Alligator mississippiensis: one gene and its partners. The protein of the gene in region 4 purifies or fractionates together with the protein of the main gene of each other region. This does not show direct contact. Links are inferred from orthologs where the notes say so. Each region holds a gene or a part of one and is shown on either strand. Other genes may lie near its edges.

What was found.
Region 1: the proteins of NUP133 (region 4) and SEH1L purify together in Homo sapiens (affinity purification with mass spectrometry; 4 studies listed by BioGRID and IntAct, with this or other methods). This does not show direct contact. The link is inferred for Alligator mississippiensis from reciprocal best matches to the Homo sapiens genes NUP133 and SEH1L.
Region 2: the proteins of NUP133 (region 4) and SEC13 purify together in Homo sapiens (affinity purification with mass spectrometry; 4 studies listed by BioGRID and IntAct, counting the BioPlex papers as one, with this or other methods). This does not show direct contact. The link is inferred for Alligator mississippiensis from reciprocal best matches to the Homo sapiens genes NUP133 and SEC13.
Region 3: the proteins of NUP133 (region 4) and NUP98 purify together in Homo sapiens (affinity purification with mass spectrometry; 6 studies listed by BioGRID and IntAct, with this or other methods). This does not show direct contact. The link is inferred for Alligator mississippiensis from reciprocal best matches to the Homo sapiens genes NUP133 and NUP98.

Annotation. Positions count from the first base shown.
Region 1 is NC_081826.1:97,973,391-97,981,159, reverse strand, and holds the start of SEH1L (nucleoporin SEH1), read right to left. Parts: upstream 3,052-7,769; 5' UTR 2,982-3,051; coding exon 2,871-2,981; intron 1-2,870. UniProt on the Homo sapiens protein: Component of the Nup107-160 subcomplex of the nuclear pore complex (NPC). The Nup107-160 subcomplex is required for the assembly of a functional NPC.
Region 2 is NC_081835.1:15,063,032-15,070,712, forward strand, and holds the start of SEC13 (protein SEC13 homolog), read left to right. Parts: upstream 1-4,531; 5' UTR 4,532-4,637; coding exon 4,638-4,640; intron 4,641-4,715; coding exon 4,716-4,760; intron 4,761-7,681. Other genes in the region: cullin-associated NEDD8-dissociated protein 1, read right to left, coding at 679-746. UniProt on the Homo sapiens protein: Functions as a component of the nuclear pore complex (NPC) and the COPII coat. At the endoplasmic reticulum, SEC13 is involved in the biogenesis of COPII-coated vesicles.
Region 3 is NC_081824.1:481,358,921-481,366,689, reverse strand, and holds the start of NUP98 (nuclear pore complex protein Nup98-Nup96), read left to right. Parts: upstream 1-4,638; 5' UTR 4,639-4,741; intron 4,742-7,769. Other genes in the region: PGAP2 (post-GPI attachment to proteins factor 2), read right to left, coding at 310-562, 2,146-2,442. UniProt on the Homo sapiens protein: Plays a role in the nuclear pore complex (NPC) assembly and/or maintenance. NUP98 and NUP96 are involved in the bidirectional transport across the NPC. May anchor NUP153 and TPR to the NPC.
Region 4 is NC_081824.1:149,061,611-149,069,311, reverse strand, and holds the start of NUP133 (nuclear pore complex protein Nup133), read right to left. Parts: upstream 3,138-7,701; 5' UTR 3,027-3,137; coding exon 2,845-3,026; intron 2,690-2,844; exon of another isoform or gene 2,610-2,689; intron 1-2,609. UniProt on the Homo sapiens protein: Involved in poly(A)+ RNA transport. Involved in nephrogenesis.

The DNA of each region.
Region 1 (7,769 bases), on a different chromosome or scaffold from region 4:
TTGGGACTTTAGGTGACAAGTCTAAACAAGTAAAATTTCAATATTCCTAATGCGGTGACTACAAATGCAACTCAGCACTTACATGGAAACATTTTTCAAGTGACTGACATTTAAAAATATTGTATTTACTTGTATTCAAGATGACCCCCCAACAGTCAGATTCTCTACATGGAAAAACTATAAATTTGTTATAAATTCCCATGTAGAGAAACTAATTATTGGAGGATTGCCTTTAATTCATGCCCTCCACTGCTGCAGGGGGGCAGGCAATGAGGCAGGTTGCATGGAGAGGTTAAGTAGCTTGCCACCTGCATGTGCCTGCCACATTGCCACTTCTACCCCCTGTAGGCCTCCCACCCCACCCCCAGCCCTAGCCCTGCCTTTCCCCCATCCTGTCCCAATCTTCTGCTCCCCTCTCCCCTCCCCAGACTGCTCCCCGCTTTCCCTGTTCCCTTATCCTTACTCTGTGTTGAAAGGCTCTAGACCCTTTCCAGCCTGAGGCCCTAAACTCGGACCTAGCCCAGGTCCATAGCAGCAGTGCCCCAAACTGCAGCATGGCTAAAACCTGTTGGCATGAAGCATAGGTAAGGGGGTGGAAAGGGGAAGAAAGGGGCAGGTAGAGGAGCAGAGTTGCACGGGGTAGGGACATGGGAGGAAGGAACTTCAGGGGGAGATGGCACAGTGCAGAGCTGGCAGTGAGGGCAGAGAGCAGCTGCAACTACATATCCCACTGCCTTCATATTGATTTTAAGTGAAGGGGCTTTCTCCCCAATGTTAAATGAGGGGAGAAACCTTTTCTTAGAATCAAATAAATACAGTATATGAAATGTTGTAAAAATAAATGACAGTCCAGAACATGTGTGAGGCAAGCGTTTTTATGGGTGATATCTTTTATTGGACCTACTGCATGGTTGAGATAGATTTAGACAAGTAACAGTGTTATATCAGTACTACAAAAGATGCAAATCTTGCCAAAGACTTGCTTCAAACATTTCCAAAAATGTGTAAGTTAGTAAGTAAGAGAAAACTTAATATATTCTAAACAGACTGTGAAATTTACTACCTCTTCCTTTGTGGACATCTGCAGTCAGAACACAAGATCAACAGTTTAGGAGTCTTTTTTCTACGCCCAATGTCTCTCATTTGGGTATAGGACCTTGATCAAATCACTTCCACTCTCTTTTCCTCAGTAATCTCACATACCAAAAAAGATGGGGGCAATCTAGCTGGATCTTTGTGACAGTCTACACAAGATGCTACTGCGCAGTTATTACTGCTCGTTTATTTAATGCATGTACTAACAAGTACTAGATAAATGCACAGTAACCTCAGTTTCTGCAGAGCAGCACTGGCAAATACAGTACCTTTTTTGTGATACTACTGCACAGTAGCATCACGTAACAGTTTTTGCCACATGACACTACTGCCCAGAAGTACTAGGCTACTGCGTAGTCAGCATCTCATGTAGACGCGCTCTGTGGCACCTTCACATAAGTGGCTGAAGAAGTCACCAATCACAGCAAAGGAGTAAGTGCACTAGGCATATGCAATCTATTCTTGCTCACTAGGCAAACTTAAGGGAAATAATTTTGCCTGCAAGCCTACATTCACATGGTACTCTGATACAGCATTAGCTATGATGTTGGCTACTTGACAGTGCAATCTCTCAGGTTACAATACCCTGTAGAGTAAACTAGACCAAAAATGGAATACCACCACACATGCGAGACTGCATGAGACTTACTGAACATAAAGTTTCTATGATAAAAAGCAGCATTATACCATTCATGAACAGCAAACCCTGAACATATTATTAAACCTTACTCCTTCACCTTCACAGACAGTCACACCTTCCTTAAGTATGTTATCTTTTACATTATATCAGCTTAATTTGAAGTGATACAGTTCTACTCATCACCTACATTTTACAAGTGATATGCAGATGCAGCTGTGACTGCAGATGCTCATAAAGGAAGAGGTAGTACATTTCGCAGTCTGCTTAAAATATATTAATTTCTCCCTTATTACCTTGTTAACAAAAGAGAGGCCCAGGCCAACCTTCTAGGGGAACTTCCCTGCTAACAATGCCTGTCTTTTTTTAAAATAAGTAAATAAATAAAACCAGCATATGAAAGGCAGATATGGCTCCACTTAGTGAAAGGAAACTTGAAAACCAAGCTGTTGGCATGTCGTGCAATGGGGTTGCAGCAGGCCTACACCCACAAAGACACCTATGAGCCTCCCTTCATGGGGAAGGCAACGGAAGACAAAACCTGGGGGCAATAATGAAGCGGGAAAGGGGTCGGGGGGGGGGTCAAAAGTTACCCATGAGGGCTCCAAGGGGGAGCAGGGAGCGGAGCCAGCACCCACTGACCCCCCCAAGCCCCGCCGGGAGAAGGGGCTGGCAGACTGCCCCAGGCCCCGGGGCGTCCCCGTAGCCACAGTCTCCCTCCGGGCCCGGCACTTGCAAGTGAGGAGACTCCAACCCCAAAGACCTAAGCAGCGGCCGCAGCCCCGCACACGCGCAGGACCTAACGTAAATGGCTCCTGCAGCACCCCAAGGGAAGGGCTACGGCTCGGCCCCGCGCTGGAAGCCCCAGGCCCGCCCGCCGCCGCCGGAACCACGTGGCTGCCGCAGGCCGGCCGGGCCAGGGCCCGCCTGCGCCCGCGCCGCCAACGGGCCGGGCGAGACCACAGCAGACGCCGGGGGGGGGGGGGGAGCGGGCAGGGGGTTCCCCCCCCCCACAGCACAGCACGACTCGACTCGACTCGCCCAACGGCCGCCAACAAGGCCGGGCGAGACCACAGCAGGCGCGAGGGGTGGGTTCACCCCCGCCATTACGGTTGGACTCGCCCCCTTCCCCGCGCACCTTGACGCTCTGGTCGCTGGAGCAGGTCGCCATGCGCCGCCCGTGGAAGTCGAAAGAGACGTCGTGGATGAGGTCGCGGTGATCCGCCGCGATGCTCCGCGCCACAAACATCCTCGGCGCCTAGTCCCCCGCTCGCCGACCTTCGGCACCGCTCGCCCTGCCCTACCCTGCCCGCCCGCGGCCGTTAAGGGGCGCTGTGCGCCCGCCAAGCCGCCGCTCCCCCGCCCGCACAGCGCCCCCAGCGGCGGGAGGTCGGCGCCGCTCGGGCTGCGGGCTCCTGGCAGCACAACTTGTGTCTGCTTCCGTGTCGCATGACAGCCGGGGGCGCCGTGATCCTTTTCCCTGAAGAAAAATGTGTCGGATTAGAGGAGACGACGCACCTCGCCCTCCGCACCCGCCCTTCGCAGAACGCTAGCCCCGCCCCCCGTCGTGCCCACTAACCGCTCCTGGTCAAGCCTCTCGGGTCGCCCCGCGCTGCATCCTGCTCCCAACTCTAGCTGCAAACTTTGGCCGAGGTGGACGTGAACCCAGGGGCAGCCACGACTGACCGTGAAGGGCTGGGTGCGCTGTCAGGACACTCCAGAAGGCCAGACTTGGTTGTAGGAGAGATGTAGGCTGAGCTCTAGTGGCTGCAGGGCTAATACAACAATATCTTGGGGCTCTTTTAGCAAGTTTGTTGTGTTTTTTTAAGTTTATAACCTAGTAAATGAGTATACGTTCCAATAAAGTTATATTTTTGCTTCGATCTTATACAGCACTGGGCCTCTGACATATTAGTAGATCTTCTAGCTGCCTTTTCACTTAAGGAACAATGTGTTTGTGTTATACGGGATGTTGTACCCTGCTGCTTCAAAATCCTGCACCCTCCACCTGCACCCCCCTTTTCAAAATCCTAGATCCACCCATGCATTCAAGAGGTCCTTTTATAATTCCCCTGTGGTCCCCCTCTTTTACTTCATGCTAGTGTGACTCCTGCACGTTCCCTTATGGGGAGGATCCCACCTCCCACAGCACCTGTCCTAGAAAATGTGATCCCTCACTAGAAACAGAAAAAGAGAAAAGGACTTGAAGCAATTTGCTTTACTTTAATTACAAACACTGAAACAGCTATGAAGTCCTGTGCCCCATTCCTGCATGCACTGCATGCACCACTGAGAGGGGAGGCGGCGATTGGCTGCGCTGGCCCATGTTTGAGTTACTGCCAGCAAAGTTTGTGGTAGTGGCAAACATGCCCCCTAGCAGGAAAGCTTCCCCATGCCTCCCTGCCTGAGGGCAAAGTGGGGTAGATGGTGGCAGCACACCCTCCCCCCCGCCATCACCCATCCCTGACACCCCCCAGAACAGTCGGCAGGGAGGAAGGGAGGGGAGCGAAGCTGAGGGAGGTGAAGATGGGGGTTACGGTGGTGGCTCCTGGGGCCAGGTGGCAGAGAGGGAGGAAGGGAGGGATGGGAACGGGAAGGGGGCCTCAACAACAGCCAGCAGGGTGGGGAGGGAGGGAGGTTGTGTGGGCCTGGACAGGCGGGGGGGAGGTGAAGGGGGGGTCATGGTGGTGGCTGTTGTTAGGGCCAGGCAGCAGGGAAGGAAGGAAAAGGAAGGAAGGAAGGGAAGCAGCAGGGGGTCACGGTGGTGGGCAGGGAAGGAGAGGTGGCGGGGAGGAAAGGAGGGGAAGGGAACTGGGCAGAAGGAGGGAGCCCCTGCAGCAGAGGCTGGAGGAAGAGGCAGTGACAGCAGAAGGAGTCTTTACATGGCTGGCCCTGAAGGGTGAGGAGGCGGGGCATGTAAACACTCTAAAATCCCTCATTCTTGACGGGCAATTAGCTAGTGTTATAATAAAAGTTTAAAACACCTGTACCTTGAAGAAGGCTCATTAGGCAGGAAAAATGGTAAAACTGTTGCTAGCTATGGAGAATGAAAGATGGCTAAGGCTTATGGAACAGAGATGAGTAGTTCAGATTTTGGTATATTACACTGACAGCCAAATATTCAAGAAGCGATGCCTCAGAAGCACTTTGATGTATGAGTTCGAATAGAGAGAAAGACGCTAACCAGCAGAGGAAGATTTGCAAATCGTCCTTCTAGAAATTAGAGGAATTAAGTCGTGCCCTCTTATTCCAGAAGGGAATTTGGTCAAGCCTGGAGAATCACTTGTAGCAAATTCGTAGGGAGTTTTGAAAAATAGGATGGATAATTTTGAATGGAAACCTAGAATGAATGAGTAGATAGGAGTGATGTTTTAATGCTTTTGATGTTGAAGCTGTACTGTAAGAATCAGCCTTCAAAAAAGATGCCAGCCTGGATTGCAGAGCTATAATCACATAGCTTTGAAAATACTTCACATTTTTCAATCTTATGCAAAAAAAAATTAAGTTAATTTTTCATAATTTGCTATATAGTAAGTAAGCTGTAAAAAATGCACAGTGTAAATAATGATAAAACAAGTAAAGTTGGTCATGCTTGGTGTTTGCAATCCTGTAATTTAAAACGAAATCAAATGTTGTTGAATATTATAATAAAATTACACATTTCTGAAATACAAAGAGGTTTTACTGTAAAATAAAGTAGAATAACAAAGCTGTGCATTTGTGCACTCATCTGGGACCATCCAATACTTGCTAACCAGAAAAAAGCAATGTCTAGGGACGTTTAGGCAGTAGGACTTCTTGTAGCCTAAGGAACTGCTTCTTCAAAAGAGCTAGCTGGTTACACATTTTCTGTAATATAAAACAGCTTTAATGTTTTCTAAGTTCTTAAATTCACAGTACTGTTCCTAAATGGGTATTTTTGTTTGCTGTTTTTTGTGAAGCACGCCTCTCTCTTACCGTACATGGTTGATTATATTTATACAGAACAATGCCTCATTTTTTCCAGAAGAATTGTTTCCAGTCATTGAGTGATTCATCTGTCAAAAAAGCCATTATTCTGCAGTTTGCATGATCTACTAATGTAGTCAAAGCTTAAAGCAAAAGAACAACTAGTGAATAAGTAATTTTTTTCAGTCAAAGTATCATTTTTTTAATATATTGTTTAGGTCCATCAAAATGATTTTCAAATTAATGTATGTTTTGTCAAATTGTTTTGGCTGACAAATAACAACATTTATTTAATGACATCTTGTTTTAAAATTTACCAATAATCAATTATTCAAAAGTAAACAGTAATTCAAAATATTTACTTTTGGATTGAACAAAAAAGGTTCCACCCTCCCTCCTAGGTTCCTATAAGAGATGAGAGCCCCCTCATAAGAGATGAGAGGCTCCCATAAGCTCCCCCATAAGAGATGACAGTTCCCAGCCTGCCCTGCACCTTTCTAAGCAGCTCAGGCGGTGGCGGCTGCTCCTTCCAGCTTACGGCTGCCACCACTGCAGACCGCATCAAGAGTCAGAGTGTAAATCAAACCCTGGGCAGCAGCATGGTGCAGGCCACCCTGGGCAGGAGCAGGTGGAGCTCAGCCCCATGCAGAGTGCCACAGGGGCAGCTGTAGACCTCACTGCCTGAGGGAGCTCCCAGGGGTAGGGGTTAAAGGCTGAGGGGGCCACTGACACAGTCAGGGACCTTTAGCCCAGAGAAGGACAGAGTCAGGGCTAGGGGCCCAGCTCCTGGGAGAGGTGGAGACAGGGTCAGGGACCCAAGACTGCACCTGGGAGTAGCTAAGAGAGCTGAAGTCAGCTCCACTGACTTGTCCCTAGAGAGGAGTGGATCTGGTCAGGGAATCTCTCTAACATCTTCCACAGTGAAGACAGATGCAAAGAATGTGTTTAGTTTCTCATCAATGGCTCTGTCATCCTTTAGCACCCCTTTTACATTTTGATCATCCAAAGACCCAAATGACTCCCTGGCATATCTTTGGCTTCTAATGTACTTAAAGGCATTTTTATTGTTTCTTTTGATGTCTCTTATGAATCATATGTAGGTGTTTGCACACCAAACATACTAATATTCTGTGGTACCTTAAAAGGATTGTATGGCACCTTGGTTGAGAATCACTGGTTCACTTGTTTAGGCACATTCTTCAGAGTGAAGATATCCAAGGTCTGCAGTTACCTATTCCATAGGCTTCAGTTCTAGCTCCAAAAAAAAGAAAGATATATTTATGACAACTAATGCTAATTATACTTTATGTAATGGTGCTGAAAAGGTATTTTATACACAGCTACAACAATAATTAACTATCTACTGTACTGGGTCAAGAGTGGCCCATTACTGATAACTGTTCAATAGTTCTCTCCCATTTATAGAGTTGTTCTATGTGCCCTAATGAAAGTCATGTAACTTTTTATCTGTGCTCCACTTTTCCCAATCTATAATACCGAAATCATAATACTTACTTATCACAGAGGAACTAAGTTAATTAGGGTCTGTAAAGAACTTTGACATTCTTAGATGGAAGGCATTACAAAAATGCAAGCAGAGTTATATAGCAATTAGACTCAGATATGATAGAGTAAACCAGGTCATTATGTAGGCAGATTAGCTTTGGGAACCTGAGGCTCATGATGAAACGGAATCATAAAGTTATAGAGAAGTAGGGCTGGAAGGGACCTCCAGAGGTCATCTCATCCAACCTTCTGCCTGAGGCAGGATCATCCCTATCCAAACCATCCTATATAAATCCGTAACCTAAACTCTACATAAGACTACCATCAACCCTGATACAACATAGACCTAACATCCTAACCTGCCACAGGTAAAGCAAGAGAACCATGGCACCCAATGTCCTGCTTCTATTAAATGTTGTCAAAATATGCTCAAAAGGTCCCAGGTAAATGGCCACACCCCCAGCTAAAGAGGAAGGCAAAAAACCCTCACCATCTGTACCAATCTGATCATGGGGTAAAATTCCTTACTGATCCCCAGTTAAAGTCCCCAGCCTTGGCTGTGGCCATCATCTAACACCTCTGA
Region 2 (7,681 bases), on a different chromosome or scaffold from region 4:
AGTCTCCTCCCTCGCTTGCTCCAAGGGCCGCGTGGCCGAGGGCAAGCGCAACTCGGGGGCATCCGAACCCCAAGCCAGGCCTGCAAGTAGGATGCCCGCCAACGGATTTGGAAACAGCGCAATGCCGGGGAAACACCACGTATCCAGGTCCACCAAGGCAGGTTTCCTCAAGCGTTCCCGGGGATACAACTGCTCTTCTGGCGTGGTTCGGTGTCGGGGCTTAAAGCACTTTATGGAAACGGGAGGCTCCTGTGGCCGCTGGGGTGAGGGCAGATGAACCCCGCGCCTCCGCGCTCGGGCCTGCACACAGCACAGCACAGCACAGCACGCCGCCCGCCCGCCCGCGGTTTGGAGATATCCGAAGCCCCACACACGGGTGGAGGATGATGCCGGCTGCGGGTCGGCACCGACTCCTGGATTTGGCCGCAACACCAAACATTTCTTTACAAAAAAAAAGTTTGGGAGACACCGAGGCGGGGGGCGGGCGGGGACAGTGGCGAACTCTCCGATTCGGCGCTCGTTTGGGCCGATTCGGCCACAGCCAGAGCCGCAAACGAGATGTAAATCGTGACATATACAACGAAAAGCAAACAAATGATATGAACAACAAGCGCCGCTTCCCCGCCGGGGCAGCGCCACGGCCCAGGCCCCCTCCCCCCGGGCCGGGCCGGGCCCTACCGAAAGTCCTTGTCGGTGGACGTCATCTTCTCCAGCAGGTTGGAGATGTGGTACGACACGTTCGTCATGTCGGCGCCGCGGCCCGCCTGGGCCCTGCGGGGATCCGCCGGCAGAAGATGGCGCCAGGCCCCGCGGCCCGGGGTCCGTGTCCGTGTCGGGCTCCCTCTCCTCTCCCCGCCGCCGCCTGTGCCCGGCTGGAAGGCGCTGGAACAGCCCGGCCGCGCCGCCAGAAATAGCCCCGCGCCGCCCGCCCGCCCGCCCGCCCCGCCCCGGCCCGGCCCCCGCCCGCCGCCGGGGACAGCCGCGCTGGCAGCCCTCAGCCTCGTCCTCAACTCCGCGCTTTAACTGGGAAAAACTCCGCCTGTTCTTGTATCCATCAGCTTAGGCTGATGAAAGAATGGCTGTTTTCCCCGTCGTGCCTAGGAGCCTTTCCAGTGACCCCTGCTTCCGCCTGCGCTGTGTCAAATGCAGCCCTTAGGACTGCTTTTTGGGACCTCCCAAACCCTGTGGCGGCAGGGGGCCCCGCAGACGAGGGTCTCCTGTGTGCGTCCGCTCGCCACCCCCTCGCTTCTTCACGGCAAAACTGCATCTTGCAGGGGGCCCCCAAACAACTGAGTCAGTAACTTTGGGAATTAACCTCCCCTGTCCTGTGGGTTTGTCTCCTCTGCTCCTCCAACAGGCCTGGGCCTCTGCGGTCTATTTGGCTGCTTCTCCACCAGCATCTTCTCTCCCGCTCCCTCGGGACAAAAAAGCCCGCTCGCCTAACCCAAACGGTCCAGCCCTGCCGGTCAAATCCTCTCCGAGAACACTGTCCACAAGGCCCAGCTTCTCCCGCAACATCTTCTCTCCCGCTCCCTCGGGACAAAACAGCCTGCTCGCCTAACCCAAACGGTCCAGCCCTGCCGGTCAAATCCTCTCCGAGAACAACACAAGGCCCATGGTAAGTTGCCAAGCAATAATGGCGTGTTCAGCAGCTCACAGGAACAACTGGTCTCAGCAACAGCATTTGTTGGGACTATTTCAAAATTTGACTCGAACGTTGCAAACTGCGCACGTGCGAATGGATCCAACCGTATGTTCTTCTCCTGGTGAGCTTTGTCCCTTCTTCCCTCCCTTTTTCCATCTACACTTCTCCTGTAAGGAACACGGGACTGGAAGGGGTCTCCCAAGCCATCGCAGGTAGCTCTTTGTCCAAAAAGCATCTGCAAGAACATCTTCTGGTGCCTCAGAGACAGAAAACACCTGATTAAAAAAAGGGAGGGGGACTAAAACATGCCACAAGAGAACAGGAGAAACACAGGCATCACCAGTGCCTCTTGGGTTATATTCAGTATATGGCACCAGAACTTATGGTGGCAAAGAACAGGCAAGCAGCCACCACTGCCGAAGTGATGGCCGTCACTGGCCAAATCGTATTAGAACTTCCATCACAAGATCGTTTTTGTGAGCAGCTCGTGGTCCCAATTTCCAAAGCATTTAATATATCCTTAAGGCTACTTTGGTCCCGTTTACAGCTCACGTTCTAAGCAGGCAACACAAACAATTAGAAGAAAAAGACAGCATTATAACTCATTTTGCACCTGTATCATGACTTGTTCCAAGTCAGTCAGGAAGTCTGTGGCAAGGGTAGGAATTAGATCCATATCTCATAAAAACCACGCCCTTGACTACAAGACCATTCTCCCTCCTTTCAGTAGCAAATCATCTGAATGATCTACAGATCTCATTGATACCACTTTATAAATGGTTATGCTTGTAAAGGGAACAGAGCCCCAATATGCAATGACAGGGCTGTAGATATGTTTGTTTTACAAACCAAAATTGGAATGGAAACTTTTCTCCATTTAAATTAAACATTAGCAAAGCTTTTTGTTTGAATGTAAATGTTTTGGAAACTCAGACATTGCATCTCTGTGCTATTGCAAAAGAATCAGAAACAGAAAGTGCCAAGCGGATTTTCTTACCCAAGCTGCAAGACACGCAGCTTGGGTAAGAAAGTCGACAAGTAGAAATAATAGCAAGAAGTATATTGCACTGTAAAATGACTTGGAAGAATATAAGCAGGAACACTGCTTTTAAATGGCAGGAATGCTGAAAAACCTATCTGTTTCCTTAAAGTCCACCTGCTACATTATCACTGTGGCTGTGCTCAGGGACCTCAGTCAGGGACCAAAACCCTGGTGTGCCAGGCCAACACTGTCCGAACATAAGGAAGTGCCTCATCGTGAAAGGACAATGAAGTTCACTTTTACCAACTGTTGTTTTGCTGAGCCCAGAGCACTTCAGAGATAGTAAGCTCAGCTCTGGGAATGCATGAGGGGGAGGATGTGATGATGATGAGGCTGCAAGGTGCACTCAGGTGGCCATAATGCATTGAGAACAAAACAGGTGCTTCTGGTTTTCTCCTACAGCAATACACTATCTCCTTCCCTATCAAGCTGTCCCAAATACAGACACACTGTCTTCTGTAAACCATGATCAGATTGCACCTGCCTTTCAATCTTTACACTGTGGCCTGTAAAGTTGCAGATTAACATTAACTCCATCCTTTTGGCTTTTAAACATCTGGGGAACATTATTAACTTTTACACTTTCATCTGAAGGTCCCAAAGCACGTCACACAGGAAAATAGACATCATTCTCCCCAGTGCACAGATAGAGAAATTGAGATGGAGAAACAAAATTACTTACCCAAGACCTCAGAGGAGCCACCTGCAGTGTCAAAACTAGAAGCATCTGGCCCCCAATCTATTGTCCTCACTGCTGTTTCCACAAAACAAGAGCAAAGGCTCTAGATTAGATCCCATCCCTTCTTGAAACAGTTCCTGAAGGCCCCATTGTTGTTGTCCGAGTTCAGCAAATTACTGCATCTTTGCACATCTCTCTGAGCCTCCCTTCTTTTAAATATCAGCTCACAACCCCTCTTAGCCCCTGAAATAGTTTCTCTCTGTTATGACTGTTTGATGAATGGATATATTCCTTGTTACCATTAGATGCCTTTTTTAAAGGATGCAAAACTGTCTTTTAGGTAATATTTTAAAGTAGATTAGTGCTTTTTTTTTTTTTACTTGCTGTTGCTCTGAGCCTTTTGGGGGAAGTCAAGTGGCTAACCATGAAGTAGTAAAAGCCCTGGGAATGCAGCTGCCACATTTGCAGACTTCTCTTCAGATTTCTGAATATGGGCTTAATACCTGTTTGCTTCTCTCTCCCAGCACCACCTCCTTCTCCCCCTTGAATGTTGTACTCTAATTTTTCTCTCCTTATTCCCAGCTTTCTGCACCTTCTTTCACAGGATGAAGTGAACCTTAGCCCCCAAAAGCTTGAGTTATATCTGCCTACCTACCTAGATATGCCTATAGCAGTGAAAGGCTAGCTTGAAATCAAACAGAAAGATTTGCACCTTATCTGTATCCATCGATCAATACTGCTATTTATACAGCAGCATTTGTGAGCGGAGGTTTGCTTGTTTTATCAGCTGCTGTGCAAGGACAGTTTGCGTGAAGTCAAGCACGGAGGTTTGCACCTTACAGACTCAAAGCAGAGATGTGCAGAGAGAGCTCTCTTCTTTACTCAGTCTGTATAGATGTCTATCTATCAAGATACCTAGCACAAGGGTTTGAGCTGAGGCTGCTTGTGCAGAATCATCACGTGCAGGAGACACCGCCAGAAACAGCTCCCGGGTGAGTCTATGGGCGCAGCACCTCCCCGCTTCTGGGCTTCACGCTCAGCCTGTGCGTCTCCACCCCAGGCGCGGGGGGCGGGCGGAACCCGGGCGCGGCCGCGCTTGTTCCCGACCGGGCCGCTTTCGCCGGCGGACCCGGGCGCTGGGGAGGACGAAGCCGGGCGCGCCCGCGCTTGTTTCCGGCCGGGACGTCTTTGCCGGCGGACCCGGGCGCTGCCACGTCTGAGCGCCGCCGCGGGAGCGGGAGGAGGAGGAGGCCGGTGTCGCCGCCGCCACCATGGTAGGCGCCGGGGCCGGGGGGGTGGTGGTGGTACATAGTCTGGTGGTCTGACCCTACCCCGCTTGTTCCCCGCAGGTGTCGGTCATCAACACCGTGGACACGTCGCACGAGGACATGATCGTGAGTGTGGCTCGGCTCGGCTTCCCGCAGGCCGGGGCAGGGGCAGGGGCCTACCATAACCCCGCTCGGGTCTCCTCATCCTCCGGGCAGGCTTTGCCCTCCCCGCCCCGCGGTGCCGCCTGCGGGCGCCTCTGGTGACAGCCGGGCTGTCGGAGCTGCCCACGAGCGCGGAGGGGCACCCTCGTGCCGGCCCGGCTGCCGCAGGGGGGTCTTCCCCTCCTCCTGCAATCATGTCAGGTTTGGCAGGGATCTTGGGGGCTCGCATGTAGGCCAGCCCCCCGCGCCGAGCAGGGCCAGCCCCAGCTGTCTCATGGAGGGTTGTGGCTCGGTTTAATCTATTTGGGGAGGTTTCCAGAACGGCAGTGTACCCGTGACACGCGACGCGAGCGTGCCCGCATGCGTCAGTTATGGATTTTGATATGTAGACTTTACGTCAGGAAGGCAAAATGCACGCGACTGTTATGTTTAAAAAACATACGGGATTACTGTACAAATCTGCTCCAGCATTTAATATTTATTTTAATGAATGGTCTATTGTTTATCTCCTGGGTGACTCTTGGCATCTCCTGGAGATTTGTCTCTAATTCCTAGAGCCTCCAGGGCAATCCTGGAGGGCTGGCTACCCTCATCGCATCCCAGCCAAGGCTTTGTTCACCTGGGTCTTAACCTCTAAGGAGAGGGACCCCACCACCTCTCTGGGTAGCCTGGTCCTGTACTTTACTACCATCTTTGTGAGAGTTTTTTCCTAATATCCAACTAAACTTTCCTTGCTACAGCTTGAGACCATCGCTCCTTAATGTCATCTGTCACCACTGAGAACAGTCCAGCTCCATCCTCTTTTGAACCCCCCTCCAGGTGGTTGAAGGCTGCTGTTAAATCTCGTCTCAGTCTTCTCTTCTCTGAACTAAATAAGCCCAGCTCCCTCAGCCTCTTCTCAGAAGTCGTGTGCCCTAGCCCCCAAACTATTTTCATTGCCCTCCACTGGACTCTCTCCAACATGTCCACATCCTTTCTGTAGTGGGGGGCACAAAACTGGACACAGTACTCCAGATGTGGCCTCACCAGTGCCCTTGTTGCTAAGAAGGCTAGCAGCATACTAGTCTACATCAGTAGGAGCATTGCCAGCTGATCGAGGGAAGTGATGATTCCCCTCTAGGGAATCATCCCTAGGTGCTGGTGAGGGCCGGAATCCAAAGCTCCACAGGCCACATTTGGCTCGCAGGCCAGAGATTGAGCATCTCTGTTCTAGATCCTTCTTTCTAATGCCTGGGACTTGCTGCTAGAAAACATGAGATAACAGTGTGCACCATTGCTGGAGGGATGAGAAAGAGGCAGATCAGTGTGTCAATTTGTGGGAAGAGGGAATAAAACAGCACTCTAAACATCGTCTTCAGATGGGCAGGTCTGTCTCTCAGTGGTCTGTACAGCTTTGCTGCCTCATATTGTAAAACCCCTTAAACTTACTTGCATGTATAACCCCTTGCCTGGTGTGGCTGTGGGAAGTCAGTGTCCCCAAACATTGCTTTAGTAAGAAGAGGGTACAAACAAGTCAGATAAATTTATGTGCGTAGGCATTAGAACACAATGTGTAATATAAGCCATGAAACCCCACACGGAAATCTGATAACAAAATTTCCCTTTTCACCAGTATAACTTAAAACCTCAACTCATCAGTCTCATACGGACCCATTGGGTTGAGGCTCTTTACCTTGTGCACAGGTAAGAGCTGTTCCAGATGGCACAAGGACTTTCAGCACTTCACAACACACTGACTACGCTAACTTCTGTGGCCTTTTAAGTGCAATTCACTGGGCGTGTCTACACGAGACACTTACAGTGGAGTAGACTAATTAGGTGCGTGGCAAATGTCTTATATCTACATGTGTGCCCCCATTAGGCTACAGGAAAGTAATAAACTCCACAGCAAAGAGTATTTACAAGCACTACCCTTTTGTGGAGTTTTTTTACTTCACAGTACTGCATGTGTAGTCTAACATGGCTGGCTGGTGCACGAGAGTGCTTCTGTGTGGGGGTTGCCTGCTGGCTAGCCCCACACTGGAGCACACTCATGGCCCAGCCGAGCCCCTCCACAACACATTGAGCTGGGTTGGAGCAGCCCCAGGCTGGCAGGCTGAACCTTTGGGCCCCCTGCCAGTTAGGGTTTCTCTGACCTGGTTAGCATGCTGGAGACTCAGGCTCACATTCAGGTGGTGTGCCCAGGAGCAATACACTCCAGTGCGATATGTACCAGAGTTTTTTGCGTGCTAACAGCATGTGTAGATGCACCCACTCTATCAGCAGTCAGGTTCTCTCCCTGCTGGTGTCTCTTCTGTGGGGAAGTTGATCCTGCTCCCAGCTGTGCTCAGACTGGGCTCCTCCACAATCTCCCTGGGGCCCCTTTAATGGTGCTGGGAGCATGTCAGGGAACAAGGCCTCTCCCATGCTCTAATTACACTGGCTCCAGGTAAAAATGGCCTCCATGTTGCAGCTCTTTTATTTTTTCCACTTCCACTCCTGTTAGCCCTCAAAACAGCAGAGGGCCATAGTTCAGACCAACTCCTTGGGTTTGGTTTTCCTAGACTTTGAGTGGCCTCACCCCACTCTGCTTATCTCTTCAAAACCCAAGGTCAGGGGTTACACAAGCATAAGTGATTGGTAACATTGTGTGGGGAGGTGGATCAAAATTTTTGTTCCCATTTGAAATATAAAGAAACCAGAACCAAGATTAAGTAATTTAGCTGAGGCCAAGAAGAGTCAGTGGCAGAGAATAGAAGCCCAGAGCCCTGACTTCTTGTCTCAAAGCACTGGGTTTGACTACTTGTGGTAATTACCTTATTACAGGGGTTTTCAACCTTTTTGGGTCACTGTACCCCAGTGACTGGATGCAGGGGGGGGAGGGAGAGAGGAGGTGGTGTGCAGCT
Region 3 (7,769 bases), about 330 Mb from region 4:
AGCTAGAAGAGAAGACCCCACCTTACCAGCAGCAGGAGCGGGGAATTTTCATTTTCAGAAGTGCATCCCCAAAGGGATAAGATATGGTCTAGATGCAGGGACAGGAGCTAAGAAGCATCAAATTCAAACCCCATCTCTGACACCAGTGTCCTACTATGAGGCTTGACTAATTCATGCTTGCAAAATCCCTTGGTGACAGCTGCCTTCTATACAAGATCCAGATACTCTTATTATGGTGACATGAACCGCTGATTTTAAGGGAACGTGCGTGTGTGCGTGCACGTTTGCTGTGGGAAGGGAGAAACCTACCGTAATTTTCGGTTGAGGACACATATGTCAGAAGGAGGAGAGCAATGTTTTCAAGCAGGTTGAGCCCGAAGTTGAAGCGGCAGAGCCGAAGGTAGCGAGGGTGCGTGCAGTGGCAACTCTGGTAGTGGTTCCAGTACGCGATGGCCACCAAGATGCGTGGAGCCGAGTGCAGGCCGATACACAAACGCCACACATAACGCTGAGGGGTCTCACCTCCGATAGCTGCACTGATGGAGGGCAGGTAATTTGAGACCTAGGGAAGAAACAACAGTTTGTGGATCAGACATCAGGACTCTGTATTAGAAGGTCTCATTTACTGCTCTCTAAACTTTTACAGGCCAGATCCTGTCCTACCTATTAGGTGTCCAGATGGACTTAGGTGCCTAAGTGTGATGCTGTGCCACTGCTCAAATCCCTGAAAAGCTATTATACAAAAGTTGGCTTGTCCTCCTGCTTGCTGTTTTGTGTGACTTGGTCTTGAGGGGAAGAGGAAGTCGTGTTACAAACTTGGGTGCATTAAAGGTTTTTTTTCAGGTGAATGAGGATTGTGCACATAAGCACATAACAGGTGGAAGAGGATGAGTCCCTACCTTTTATAATCATAGAGAAAGACCCCCAGGTCTTCTAGTCCGACCCCCTGCTAAACCAGTGCAGCCAAATGTCAGTCTAACCTGCTGTGGAAAACGACCAGGGATAGAGACTCCACAGCCTCTCTAGGTATCTTATACAATGCTTTGCCACCCTCGTAGTGAGAAAGCTCTTTCTAATCTCTAACCTAAATTTCCCCTGCTGTAATGTGAGACCATTGCTCCTTGTCCTATCCCCTGCAGCCACAAAGAATAGTCCATCCCAATGCTCTGTAAAATCACCCTTTGAGTATCTGAAGGCTTATCACATCTGTTTTCTCCAGACTAAATAATCCCAGTGTTTCCAATTTTTCATACTGTGTTTCCCAGGCCTCTAATCGCTCGTGCTGCTCTCCACTGGATGCTTTCTGATTTGTACCCATCTTTTTTGAAATGCGGTGCCCAAAACCGGACACAATACTCCAAGGGAGGCCGCACCAACGCTGAACAGATGAGAAGTATCACTTCCCTGGACTTGCAAGAAACTATTCCATTAATATGGGCCAGTGTGCTATTGACTGTTTTTTTTCTTTTGCACCCAGAGCACACTGCTGGCTCACATTCAGATTCCAGTCCACAGTGAACCCCAAATCTTTGTCTGCAATCTGTAGCCTAGCCAGTCACTCCCCAGGCTATATCTGTACATGAGAGCCTTCCCTCCTACGTGTGGGACTTTGCACTTGTCCTTAATGGATTTCACTCGATTACTTTCAGACCATTGCTCCAGTCTATCCAGGTCATTCTGGATCCTAAATCCCTCCAAAGTTATGCAGCTCCACCTGACTTGGTGTCAGGTCCAAGGCATGAATGGAGATATCGAGTAATACCAGGCAAGCACAGACCCCTGGGAAACCCCCCTCAAAACCACCTCCCAATTAAAGTGAGTCATCAGGGGCTGCTCTTTGGAGCATGATGATCCAACCACTTATGTATCCACCTTCCAGTCTAGGTTAAACTACTGTATTTCCTTGGCTTACTAATGAGAATGAAAAATGCATAGCACAGAGGACATAATTATTCCTGTTTCACTGACGAGGAAACTGATAGAAGCAGAGAGTGATTTGTCTGAGATTACACGGCAAATCAGCAGGGGAGGCATGACACCAGATGTCCAGCCACCTACTCAAACCAGTAGACCACACCACCAATCCTAGCAGCCATACCTTTAACACACTTCCCTCTATGAGGGATTAGAGGGTCTGTAACTTACGCCACAGTGTGTAGCCGTCGTCTCCTGGAAATGGAACAGCAGAGACCAGATCACGCAGAAAAGAAACCCAAACAGCGGGCAACACACGGTCCCAACCGCCAGGGTGGTAAAGCGAAGTCGAAACAGGATCCCATCTCGATCCAGAGGCAGCGGTAACTGAAACATGTTGCTGGACCTAGAAGCAAAAAGCCAGTGTTTGACGGGTGCCCCTTCTCCCACAGGAGGACTTCCCAGCGCCGATGGCCACAGCAGATCCAAGCGATGCAAAAGGCCAAGGTGTGCAGCAAGTCGGCGCATGACCTTTCACATCCGAAACCCCAGGTTCAAACTCTGCATCGCCGGACTAAATACAAGCAACGTGAGTAACGGCTCAGATCTTCAGGCAGGTTGCAGTTTAGCTTCTGTGGGGGTTGAGGGGGGGAAGCTACAGCAGCGTTGATTCAGACAGACCCCCTAATCTAGGGGCAGGGTCAAGAACGGAGCGAGAAAGAGAGTCCCGCACGGACTAATCCGAAACGGTGCTGCACGTCAGTCGCTTCCATCACAGACAATCCTGAGAGCAACTCTCCGGATCAGGTCCGGAGGCTGCAGAGCTGGGACCCTGAACCAGCAAGGCTCGCCCGACCCTCCGGACCGTCTGGGGAAAACAGCGCAGCAGACGTTTCACAGCACGGATCCGGGCAAGTTCAGATCCTCAGCTTTTATCACCATCAGACGCTGAAATACATCAGAGGACAACGTTATCCCAGCACAATTTGAGCTACAAAAAAATTTGCCGGGTTGTGTCTAGACCCCTCTTTATTAACCAGGGTGCCTTGCCTCTCGCTCGAGCCTCGTGGCCCCCTTTTCCAGCCTGCAGACTAATATAGACTCATAGAAATCATAGAGAAGTGGGGCTGGAAGGCACCTCCAAAGAGTATGTAGTCTAACCCTCGGCCTGAGGCAGGATCATCCCAATCCAAGCCATAATCTAACCTCCTAGTAAAACTACCATCAACCCCGGCACGGCACAAGTCTGCACACCACGCACCTGCCACGAGCGAAGCAGGGCGACCACAACAGTCAGTGTCCTGCTTCTATAAAAGATAGTTAAAATACACTCGGGGCGATCCCACGAAAACGGACATTATCACAGAAAACGAGGGGGGGAAGGGACCTCCGGTCCAACCCCTTGCTCCAAGCAGGACCAGCCCCAATTATATATCATTGCAGGCTTACAAATCCCCTGACATACACAACAGAAGCAGGGGAGGCAACCAGCACGGCCCAGAAACCTGGGAAATCCCCATAGCCGAGCGCAGGCATCGCTACGCCTACTACGTTTTATCGAACCTCTCCTTGCGACGGAGCCCACAGCTTTCCGGAGAGGCGCCCGTCTATCCCGCTCCAACAACGAACACGCTGCCGCGAGATCCGACCGAAACCGAGTTTGCTGCCGCGGGGGGGCCGCGTCCTCCTCTTCGAGCTGGATTTGCCGAGAGCGCTCCCGCAAATCCCTCGGGGTCAGAGGCGGTCACGTGAAGCAGCACGGGCAGGTGTGCATCACGCATTGAACACGCGCGGGCTTGCACGGGGGGGGGGGGGGGGGGGATGACGACTCAGCGGGCATCGTGATTCGCACGCCCCGTCGTAACACCGAATCGCGCCGAATCCCAGCTCCCCCCCCCCCGTCGGCAAATGACAACCGCGCGCTCTCCCGGCGGACTTTGCTCGGAGCCGGCCTTGCCCCGGTTGCAACGCGGACACGCCGCGCCTCAAAGCACCCCCGTGCCCGTCTCCCCTCACCCCTCACACGCGCCTGGCACCAATAACCTGAAGTCTGCTCCCATTTGCACCGCTTTAATCCCCCCCCCCCACACTGCAAACGTGAGGTCACAAGATCTCCCGCACCCCCCCTGCCCCTGGGGACCCCCCCACGGGCCCCAGCACCCCTCCCAGTGCCCCCCACATGCCCCCAGTTGTCGTCAGCGCCCCCCCCCCCGGGACCCCTGAGGGAGGCGGGCGCGGGGGGGGGGACTCACGGCGCGCGGCGGCCGGGCCGGGCGGCGGGGCGGAGCCGGCGGCGCAGTCAGCCCAGCGGGCGGAGCCGGCCCGCCCCTCTGGATGCAGCTGCGCATCCCTCCCGCAAAACGGCTGCGGGGGGAGACTTCCCGTGGCGGGGTGCGGGGAGCCGCGCATGCGCACATCAACCCTGTGCCGGCGTGCGGACGTGTTTGGCGGCTCCCCCCCCCCTCACTATGGGAACCGCAGGCCGCCCCTCTGATTGGCCCCGCCCCGCCTTTCGGGCAGCGGTTCGAAAAGCCCCGGATGTCGGCTGGGCGCGAGGGGATTGCTGGGCCTTCCCCCCCTCGGCCAATCAGAACGCGACCCCGCGGCCCAATCAGCGCGGGGGAAGGCGCTCTTGCCCAATGAGAGCCGGGCAACTTCGGTTTCGAACCGCGGCGGCCAATGGGGCCGCGGCTGCAGGGCGGGCCAATGGGGCCGGGGCGGGGCGTGAGGGGAGTGTGACGCAGTTTCCCTCTCCTGCGAGGCGGCGGTAGCGGCGGCAGCGAGCGTCGTGGCGGCGGCGCTGGGCCCAGGCGCGGCCCAGGCTTCGGTAAGCGGGGCCGGGCCGCGGGGTGGAGGCCGCGCCGGGGTGTCCCCCCGCGGGCACGAGGGGCTGAGCGCGAGCGACCTGCGGGCTTTCCCCCGGCTCCGGCCGCCCGCCCGCCCCGCCGACGGCCCAGGCCTTCCGGGCGGACAGGCCGCATCCTGCTTCCTGGGCTCCATAGCAACCCCCTCCCCCGCCCGCCCTCTGACTCCTCTCCCCACCGCCCTCCTCTCCTTGTTATCCTATCTTATTTTCCTTTATTTATTTTTAGGTCTTGCCCTCATAGATTCATAGATGTTAGGGTCGGAAGGGACCTCAATAGATCATCGAGTCCGACCCCCTGCATAGGCAGGAAAGAGTGCTGGGTCTAGATGACCCCAGCTAGATACTCATCTAACCTCCTCTTGAAGACCCCCAGGGTAGGGGAGAGCACCACCTCCCTTGGGAGCCCGTTCCAGACCTTGGCCACTCGAACTGGGAAGAAGTTCTTCCTAATGTCCAATCTAAATCTGCTCTCTGCTAGCTTGTGGCCATTGTTTCTTGTAACCCCCGGGGGCGCCTTGGTGAATAAATCCTCACCAATTGCCTTCTGTGCCCCCGTGATGAACTTATAGGCAGCCACAAGGTCGCCTCTCAACCTTCTCTTGCGGAGGCTGAAAAGGTCCAGTTTCTCTAGTCTCTCCTCGTAGGGCTTGGTCTGCAGGCCCTTGACCATACGAGTTGCCCTTCTCTGGACCCTCTCCAGGTTATCCACATCCTTCTTGAAGTGTGGCGCCCAGAATTGCACACAGTACTCCAACTGCGGTCTGACCAGCGCCCGATAGAGGGGAAGTATCACCTCCCTGGACCTATTTGTCATGCATCTGCTGATGCACGATAAAGTGCCATTGGCTTTTCTGATGGCTTCGTCACACTGCCGGCTCATGTTCATCTTGGAGTCCACTAGGACTCCGAGATCCCTTTCCACTTCCGTGCCACCCAGCAGGTCATTCCCTAGGCTGTAGGTGTGCTGGACATTTTCAACGTCCACTCCGCGTGCCCGCGTTGTGAGCCATTGACTCCTGTCCCTATCCCCGTTTATTTCTTTTCATCATTATCATCATCATTATTATTATTACTATTATTATTATTAATGCGCACACAAATGTGCATATATGTGTGTGTGTGTGTATAATATATATAGAGAGAGACATATAGCCATGTATACACACACGTGTGAATCCATGAAATCACTTACGATTATAGATGAGTAGTATAGCTACATTGATGTATTTATATCGTAAACAGCGATCCTGTTGTTTTGGAAGGACTTTTTTGAGGTGACTTTAGACTTGTTGAAGGGCTCTTGGCCAGAGTCTCCCCCGGCTGCAGGGTTTTCTCGAGTCTTATCCGCTTTCTTAAAGCGTCCGAGGAAGTTTGGACAGATGTTTTCCAGGGAGGTGGGCGACGCAGCGACCTTGTTTGCTGGCGTGGTGTCGGATCGGGCATCGTAAAGTCGAAACGGGGTGTCGGTTTATAAACGTCGTTAAGTGCCGTTCGTTGCAACTCGAAACGTCATAAGTCGAGGGCTGCCTGTATGGTGAGAGGCCGTCAATAATGAACCCCTCTTGACTTTCTCTTTACCACTTAATATTTTGTAAACCTTTGTCCTGTCACCCCTCGGGTGTCTCTTCCTAAACTGAAGAGGCCTGGCCTCTTTAGTATCTCCTCCCTACCACTTATCTTTCTTGCCCTTCTCTAGACCAGTGTTTCCCAACTGCGTGTGGCACAAAAGTGTGCCATCAGAAACAAACAGGTGTGCCGCCGAACTTTGCCACGGCAATGAGTTACAATAGGCGTGAGGATGGGGGAATGTCTTAACAGGTGTGTCGCAGAAAATTTTTATTAAAGTAAGTGTGCCTTGGGCTGGAAAATGTTGGGAAACGCTGCTCTAGACCTCCTCCGGTTTTTTGGTATCTTGTTTGAGATAGGGAGACCAGAAATGGGCGCAGTATTCAAGGTGCGAATGCCCCAGGGATTTTTAAGGGAGCATCATGATACTTCCAGTTTTGTTTACAATTCCTTTCTTCGTAATCTCTAATGGTTTTGCTTGATGGCTGCTGAGCTCATGTTCTTAGTGAACTGTCACAGGTCGCTTTCCTTTGTGGCGACAGCCAAGGTGGAGCTGTCTCCTATCTAGTAGCAATGGTTCTAGAGCAGATTGCTAGAGAAGCAAGGGTTAGGTAAGAAGAGAGAGGGGAGAAACAGGGAAAGCAATAAACACCAATTATTCCTATTACATGGGGTGAGGAGTTGTCTTTATTTTTCCTAAGGGGTGGCAGTGGAGTCGTCTTCCTCTGACGTCCTGTCACCGTGCTCAAATTTGAGTCCAGAAATGGGCACGTACTATTGCGCTGCCTCGAGCTAATTTTTCACAGGAAAGAGAACTCTTGTCCAGCTCAAGCTTACTTTCAGGGGAGAAAGCCTTCAGTAGTTACCTGAGTGTAAAGCCAGTTGCTAGAGGAAATCCTCAAGGGTTGAATGCTGTTTGAGATTCCCCATCTGAATTTGCAGTCTACAGTAATAGAAGAAGCTCCTCTAATTGGATTGGAGTGAGGGGGATGGGAAATGGCTTGTAAGCCAGCTGTCAAAAGAGACCTCAAAAGTCAGTGGGTTACTTGCACCCTTCAGTAGCACAGGAAAGATGAATAAGGTTACGGAGTTAATTGCGCTATAACTACTTCTAGGAAAATACCTTGGCCATAGGAACTATTAAACTTCTGCATATCAGAACACAAATATACCTTTATCACGTGGATGTACTGCACTGTGAGGGTAGTAGTAGCCTTTGGATCTAGGAACCACGATGAATATTTTAGAATAATACCACAAATCTGTTAATGATATTTGTTTAATTTATTGGAACTTTTGAGGGCATACTTTTGTAATATAGCCTGAAGCAAGAAGTGGGTTTTTTTGTTTTGGCTTTTTTTACTATAAAAGACGTACCTGGAGCAAATAGTTTCGGAGAAAACTTGAATTTGAGTCCTGGCAA
Region 4 (7,701 bases):
ACACTACATCAGTTATTCAAATCATTGAGCATACATGTGACCACACAGACAACAGATTTCCAGAAGGCGAGTTGAAAGAATGGTCAATTTTTTTATAAGGATTCTTTTTCCTCTTCATCAAACAGGAATGATTTCTCTTTTGGGCACGAGGTGCTGAAAGCATTGGCAACAAGACATAGATAGCACCTTGCTAAACAAATCTGTAGAAACTCTGAAGAAGAAACTATGCAAAAAATATGTGGACTTTAAATTAACTGTTAGTGAGAAGATGAAAACTGGGGCAATAAAGACCATTGAAGACATGGTCACCTACATACTACAACAGGAACAATTTAGTGAACTGTCATTACTTGTTGACATCTGTGCCACTTTCCAGGCATCTAGTGCAGATTGTGAGAGAGGGTTTAGCCTCATGAACACAATAAAAACAAAGTCTAGAAATCGTTTAGAAGCTGATAATCTGGACAAGCTGATGCAAAGTAAACTTCATTTAGCATCAGGAAAGACTGTTAACCTGGACACTGTATATTCTGTTTGGAAAACAGAAAAAGGTAGACAGGAGTCACTTTGGTAAATAAAGGTTATAGTATCATCTTTTTTTGTTATACTGAGGCAGACCAAAGTGGCGCGTGCTGAAAGGGGGAGGTGGGACCAATTCGGGAACGGATCGAAACGGCGCGCTCATGGACTGCTACACCTTAAAGGGAACACTGGCCAGGAGCTGGAGCCCTGCGTGCTGAGGCAGAAGTTGTCCAGCTGTAGCTTCCTCACACCTCCCCACCTACCTGGCTGGGTGTGTGGTGCCTGGAACATGTTCCCACAGCCACCACTCCTTCCCCGTGACTGCCTGCCACCCATACCAGTGTAGTAGGGGCTGGAGGAGGAGCTTCTGGAAGTGGGGAGAGCTGAGCAGTACCCAGGCGGCTGTAGCCACAACCAGAGCAGCCCTGAAAAGAAGCTGTGCACACTGGCTGGGGATGTGACAGGCAGGAGTACAGTAGGAGTGTGGCACAGGATGCCTTGGCACCGTCTCCCATCCAAGTGCCACAGGCCAGATGCAATCAACTGGCGGGCCTGATCCAGGCTGTGGGCCATATTTTGCCCACCCTGCGATAGATCCTGTGGGCCAGATTTGGCCTGGGAATCAAAGTTCCCCCCACTTTGCTATAAACTCAGGAACCAACTAAAAAACTATTGCCCCAGAATCTTGAAATATCTCCCACCAGAAAACATTAAAAAGCTTAAGAAAATATAAAACAAGGCTATCCTATTTAAATTCCCCAATTTAGGGATAGGCCTCTTTCATACAACCTTAGTTCCTTTATGTAGCAAACAAATCAACAATGCCCAAGTCCATAAATATTAAAGTTGAACTTTTTTTTGATTAGGGGAAGTAGATTTGTTGTTCCTCTAAAAGGATCCCCCAGGTCAGGGGTGACCAAGATATGGCCCACAGAGCCATGTCATTCAGCCTACGGGGCTACTCATGGGTCTGGAAATTTGACAAGGGAGTGGTATAGCAGCATTAATTACCACAGCTCCCAGAGCCATGACAATTAACACTGTTGCAGCTCCCGTGCCAGTAAATTTCTGGGCCCATGGGTAGCTCCATAACATGGTCCCACATGCTGGATCCAGCCTCTGCAGACAGGCCCTAACTCAGACGGCCAGATGAGTTGAACACCATCGCCCTAGATCATCAAATCCACTCCCTTACTCTTACAGGCCAACATACATACATTAATGACTTCACTTCTTAAAAGTAGTTAGGCTTTCTGCTCCCACAGACTTCTGGTTTTGCTTTTGCACGCTTTGATTGCCCCCACTTCCCAACTGGCCTCTGGAGGTTCTTAACCTTTTTTGTACCAGGACCCATTTGTCAACATCAATAGCCAGTGCCAACCCAGTGCCTCTCACTCCTGACCCACTGCCCTGTCCCCACAGTGTGTAGGTCAGGGGGTGGGTATGTGGGGCAAGGGGGGGGGCCCAAGCAGCCCCTGGCAAGCTGGAGCTCTACCAGCCTGCAAGGGAAAAGCCACAGTTTGCCAAGTTTTTCCCTTTTAAAGAAGAATCCATTTTAAAAGTTTGTTGATCCACTGTTCAAGTTTGTTTGCAACCCTTTTGTATATTCTTGAGATCCACTTTTGGGTTGCGACCTGGGTTGAGAAACGCTGCTCTAGATGCAGGTAGATATAGACACCTATCCAGAGAGAGGTGTGTGGGAGAGAGTGCGTGTTTTGTGAACCCCAGATCCCTCCAACAGATGCTGGGAAAGGATACACATGAGGCAGAGTGTAAGAACAGAAAGGAAAAGCTTTTGCATCCCAGTTTCTTCTCCCCTCCCCCCGAAGACTCTGCCTTCTGCACATCCTCTCCCAGCATCTGATGAAGGGAACTGGGGCTCACACAAGCTCATGTTGTACATTTTTGGCACTTTTAATAAGGGGGAAAAAAAATGTATCTCCACAAAGAAACTTCACCGATTTCACACTTAAAGCATCAGCAAAAGTTATCACACTGGCAGGGATACAGACATGCATCAAAAAAAGACTTGACACACAAAACACACTCCCTCCTGTGTCGCTCTCCAAAGGCACTCTGATACCCACCTCCTGACTGACTTCGGACTCGGGCAAGGACCGGCCTCTCAGGTCTCCCCTCACACAACGCCCCCTACCTCACGCCATTCTAGACCTCGCGGCGCGGCACGTGCGGGTAGCCAAGCGCCCACCCCACGCATGCGCGTCAGGGGCAACAAAGCCAAAGCGAGGCGGCGGCAGCAGCAGGGGGCGGGGCCCAGGCGGCGCAAGGGTTTCCGCGCAGCGAGTGGGGTGGGGCACTCACCGTGCTGACAGGGAGCCGCTCCTCCTGCCCGCCGGGGAGAAGAGCGCGGGAGAGCCGACCGGCGTCCCCAGGGCCAGGCTTCTCCTGCCGCCCGGCCGGGACACGGAGCCCCCAGCGGCCCCCAGGGCCCGACGGGCCGAGCCACTCGGTGTGCGCGGAGAGGCGGGGGGAGCAGCGAACATGGTGGGCAGAGGGGGCAGTTAGGATAAGCGGGGGAAGGGCGGGCGGGCGCGCGCGCTCCGACCCGCTTGCCTCCAAACTCGCCGGGGCTTCCGCCGTCACTCTCTGCGCCGCGCACTGCTCTCACATCACGCCCAGCCACGCCCCTTCCAGAGCCGTTAATAGCCAACCTGACAGGGCATCCCACCCAGAGGAGGCGGGGCTTCTGTTCCACCACTGCGGGCGGGAGGGGAGGGGAGGGGAGGGGAGGGGCTTGGTGTGCGGCCGCCGGCTTGTAGGGGCTAGGCTTGAGGCGCGCAGTTAGCTGTGGCGCATGCGCAGAGCGGGGCTGGGAGGGGTGCTGTGTTACCTTATGTAGGATAATTACCGTATTTCTCGGATAATGTCAACTTTTGTACAATGTGTAGTAGAAGTGTTCAAAATGTACGATCTATACTTTTTCCAGAGCCTGATGAACGGCCTTTGAGCCCAAAGGTTGGAGAAAAGGATATTTTTTTGCGAGTCCCCAGTTGGTCTAATGAAAGGTATCGTTTTGAAACCAAGAGGTCTAGATTTTTGCATTTCATCTCTTGTAGGCCAAGTGCTTGCAGTGGCCCTGGCTAGCAGCTCATGGCTACATGCCCTCAGGGGCTTCTGAGGTCCCCCTCTAGAGAACTTATTTTCACATTTTGATCCTTTGACCCCCACATCATTTCTATCCAAGAAATTAGTTGCATCTTTCACCCTTTGGCTCCACAAAGGCTATTAGTTAGCTGGGTGGGCCTTAAGGCCCATGTTAATATGGAAGATACAAATAAGACAGGAGCTTCTGAGGCTGGGGCCAGTTGGTACCTGAGGACACTAGCCCCTTGTGATGAAGCAGCCCTAACCTAGTGGCCCCTGCACCCTCTACCCACTGCAGCAGTCTGGCAGTGGGGGCTGGTGCCTGGCTGTGACCTGCTGCCACCTGCGACAGCATCCACCCTCTTGGACCTGCAGCCCCATGGCGGCACATCTGCTAGACCTAGACGGAAGCTGCATGGCCACCGGGGCTATGGTATGGGCACTGCAGCAAAGCCACCTTCACCTCTGGGCCAGCTGCCAGTGGGCCATGGATATGGCCTTTAGGCAGTACTGCTTTCATGTTTTCTGGTGCCCTGGCTCTGCCATTTGGACAGCTATCACCTAGAAGATGTGGTCCTTGCAGTGGCCCTACTGTCAACGTTTCCCTTCCTGGCCCCAAATGGCCAGGAAGTCAGCCAACTCATCTGCCCTCCAGCTGGGTCCTCAGTGCTGTCCCTGGGCAGGCTCCTCTGCCCAGTTCCTGCCCCTTGCTTCACCAATAGAGATCCTGGTGTTCCTCGTCTAAAAATCGCAAATTCTCTGATAAAAAACCCTCAAATTCTCTCATTAAAATACCGAAAATCCATGTTCCTCCACGATTAAAATTAAATACCACTATATATAGAGAGATCAGTTGGGCAATGTTTTATTGATATATTTACAATTTTAAAGGAATTCAGAAGCCTACCCAGTGCCTCTATCATTATAATAAACAAATTCTAAGTATCTACACACTTTGGCATCTGCTTTTAGTTTTTTTTGTCATAGAAAAGTTAGAGCTGCCCCTGCCCCCTTTGCTCACCAGGATGTGGGACACTGAGCAGCGCTGATATGCCAGTTCCCTGCCCCTACCCCTCACTCCCAAACCACAGCCCCTGCCGGCCTCCACTAGCTCCATTTCTGGCAGCAGCTCTGTACCAGCACCAAGACGTGAGTCCAGCTGCAGCTGTCCCACCTACTGCTTCGTGGCTCTAAGCAGCGCCAGCCCTTGCTGTTCTGCTCCCCATGCCTGTGCCCAGGCTGCAAACAGAAAAGGGCAGGAAACCCTGGTGTTTTGGAGCACAGCGTTGGTGGCAGGGTAGGGAGGGAACAAGGGAGAGAGGGGAATATTGACAGAGGGCTCCCCTGGAAGTCCCACCTCTCCCTGGAGATTGACAGGTAGCCATCTGTCAGTTTTGGAGAAGAGGCAGGACTTCTGGGATCCCTTGATTGAAGGTGTGGCAGGGCCTGTCATACACGGCTGTGAAAATGGCACCTGATGCCATGCCAAGACCATGAAATACAGAGGCAGCCTCCATGAATTAAGTAGGTCCCTAGTAATAAGCCCTGGCCACCAGGCAGTCATAAAAACATCAAGATTAAAAGTAGTACATACAGGTTTTGACTAGGTTAGGGTGCCATTGTGATTGTTCTTAAAAAACTTCTAATAAGATGGCAATTCCAACCTCAAAGAGCTTACAAGCTCAACGGGGCTCACAACTGCACTGGAAAATCCCATTTACTTCTCTTCTATACAAGAGATGCTGATAATAATGCAGAGAAAAGCCAGGGACAAAGAACATGCCATGTAAGAGGGGTACCCAACCTCCCATGGTGTTCTGCAGGAGGGTTAACAGAAATCCCTTCTTAAAATGGTATTAGGCAGAGGGGAGATCTGAACCAAATTTCATTTTCACATCCTGAGTTTCTCACATGGATCCTGTTTAAATTATCCTTATTAGAGATTAATTGTACCCCTTGCATCTATGAGACTATTTCTGAACAAGTTTTGCCTTTGGAATAAGTCTGCTTTAGCAGAGGTGAGCTTTGGGACCATATGATACAATCCTTTCTTTCCTGTTTCTAGAAGAGCTTGTTCTCGCTATGGTACCTTAAAGAGCTAATCAGAAGACGGCAAAGGAGAGGCTCATGTTAAAAAGAATCCCGAGTTTAAGGTGCTTACACTTGAAAAAAGACCTGAAGAGAACTATTTACAAGTTACACCTCTTTTTCTGCATACAGTGATCAGTACACATTGAGTTTCAGGTGCTGAAGAAGAATACGACATAGGCACTAGGGTCATTAATTCCAAAAATGCAGAATAGGAAACTTGTGTTTTTAAAAAAAAAAAACAAACCTCTAAAAATTCCCATCACATTGTGAAAACAGGACAGTTCCAACATGAGATGACAGGTACAATAAATGTTATTTATAAAATTTTATTCCATAATAAAAAAGTTACTAAAAAAAAAATACAACCAGGAAAGCAATGCTGAAAAAATACAGTCAGTTAATATAAACAAACAAGTTCATTTTAACAGTAGGAGTTGCAATACACTGTTCTGTCCCCCCATTACATTGGTTTTTGCTTGGTTTCCTTTCCTTCATCATACTACAGTGGACTCAAAGGCTGCATGAAACCAAATGGTCCTTGGTAAAACAAGTCTATCAAGATTGTCAGTGGCAAGGATGTCTTAGGGCAAGATCTTTTGTTGGTCCTATTCTGTCCAATAAAAAGACAGCACCCTAAGACATGTTTTCTCTTTGCATAATTCCTGGACCATCATGGCTACAACATCACTCTTACACTATCAAGTTTGGCAGAGACATACATTAACAATTTACTAGAATTAGTCTTTATATGGGTAACCATTCAAAAGATTCCCTTTTGAACCAGAGAGAGCAATACTTCACATGTTTTTAAAGACATACTGTATATTTAATAGTTTCCTTCATAGAAGAACTAAAGTCTTCCTACCAGCCTCAGAGCTAGAACTGTATATAACTGCAGTAAAGGGTGTATCTGTACAGAATAGATCTATTTTGGATGTATGCAGTAAGCCAGACCCAAATAGAGCAGTACCTACACGAGTTGTAGGGTCTGTAGGTTATGCAGCTATCCACAGTGCCCAGCACAGCTCCCTGCAGTGGAACATAAGTGCTGTGATAGACCGTTCATTTCCAACTGAGTACATTTTTCAAGTGTGCCTAAAGGATATAAGAATTCAAATGCCACCGAGTCTTACTAAAATATCAATTAGATATTTCTGAAAAATTCCCTTGTCCATCACATTTCTGGTTTGCCCCCATGAATGCTTCCCTCAGTTCCATCCTGAACAAGGGCCTGCTATAAACTCACATTGCTACTGTGCCTGTCATGACGGAGCCACTGGCCGCCTCCTGAATCAAAGCTGAAGTGTCTGTTTACAAAACAACCACCAGTGAAAAAGCAGTGTTCATACATTCATTTCCTTGACAAAAAAAAAAAAAAAATTCTTTAGCCTGACTGCTTAAGCTATGAACATAGATGAAGTGCTGGATGAGCCCCTGATGAATAATTATCCATATGAGTAACGGTTTTCCAGGTCTAGCCCATCATTGAGAAAGGGGTATGTAGAGAAAATAATTAGTAGGTAGCACTGAAGTTTCAAAAGTACTGCTAAGGTACATTTTTGTCTTATAGATTTGGTACCATCTTTTGGCACAACTGTTGTTTACAATTAAGAATGGAAAGGAGAAAATCTAAAGCCTAGATCAGGGGTTGTCAACCTGGGGGTACTTGGGAAGGTCCCAGGAGGTATGCAGCATTGACCCAGAGAAGCAGGGGGTGGGCCGCTTTTGTTTCCGTGCTGCCGATGCTTCCGGTTTTGCCACTGCGCGCCACCGGCACTTCTGGTTTTGCCACTGCGCAGGTGGGTGCGCAGGACCCCACCCCCCAGCCCCCAACTGGCTGCCAGGGTTCACCAACCAAAAAAAGGTTGAAAACCCTGGCCTAGATTAATAGATATTAATTAACATCTAGAAATATTTTTAGTATTCCTTTTAAGTTCCATACAATGGCTTAATTATTAAATTAGAAAATAAGCCACTTAAGGC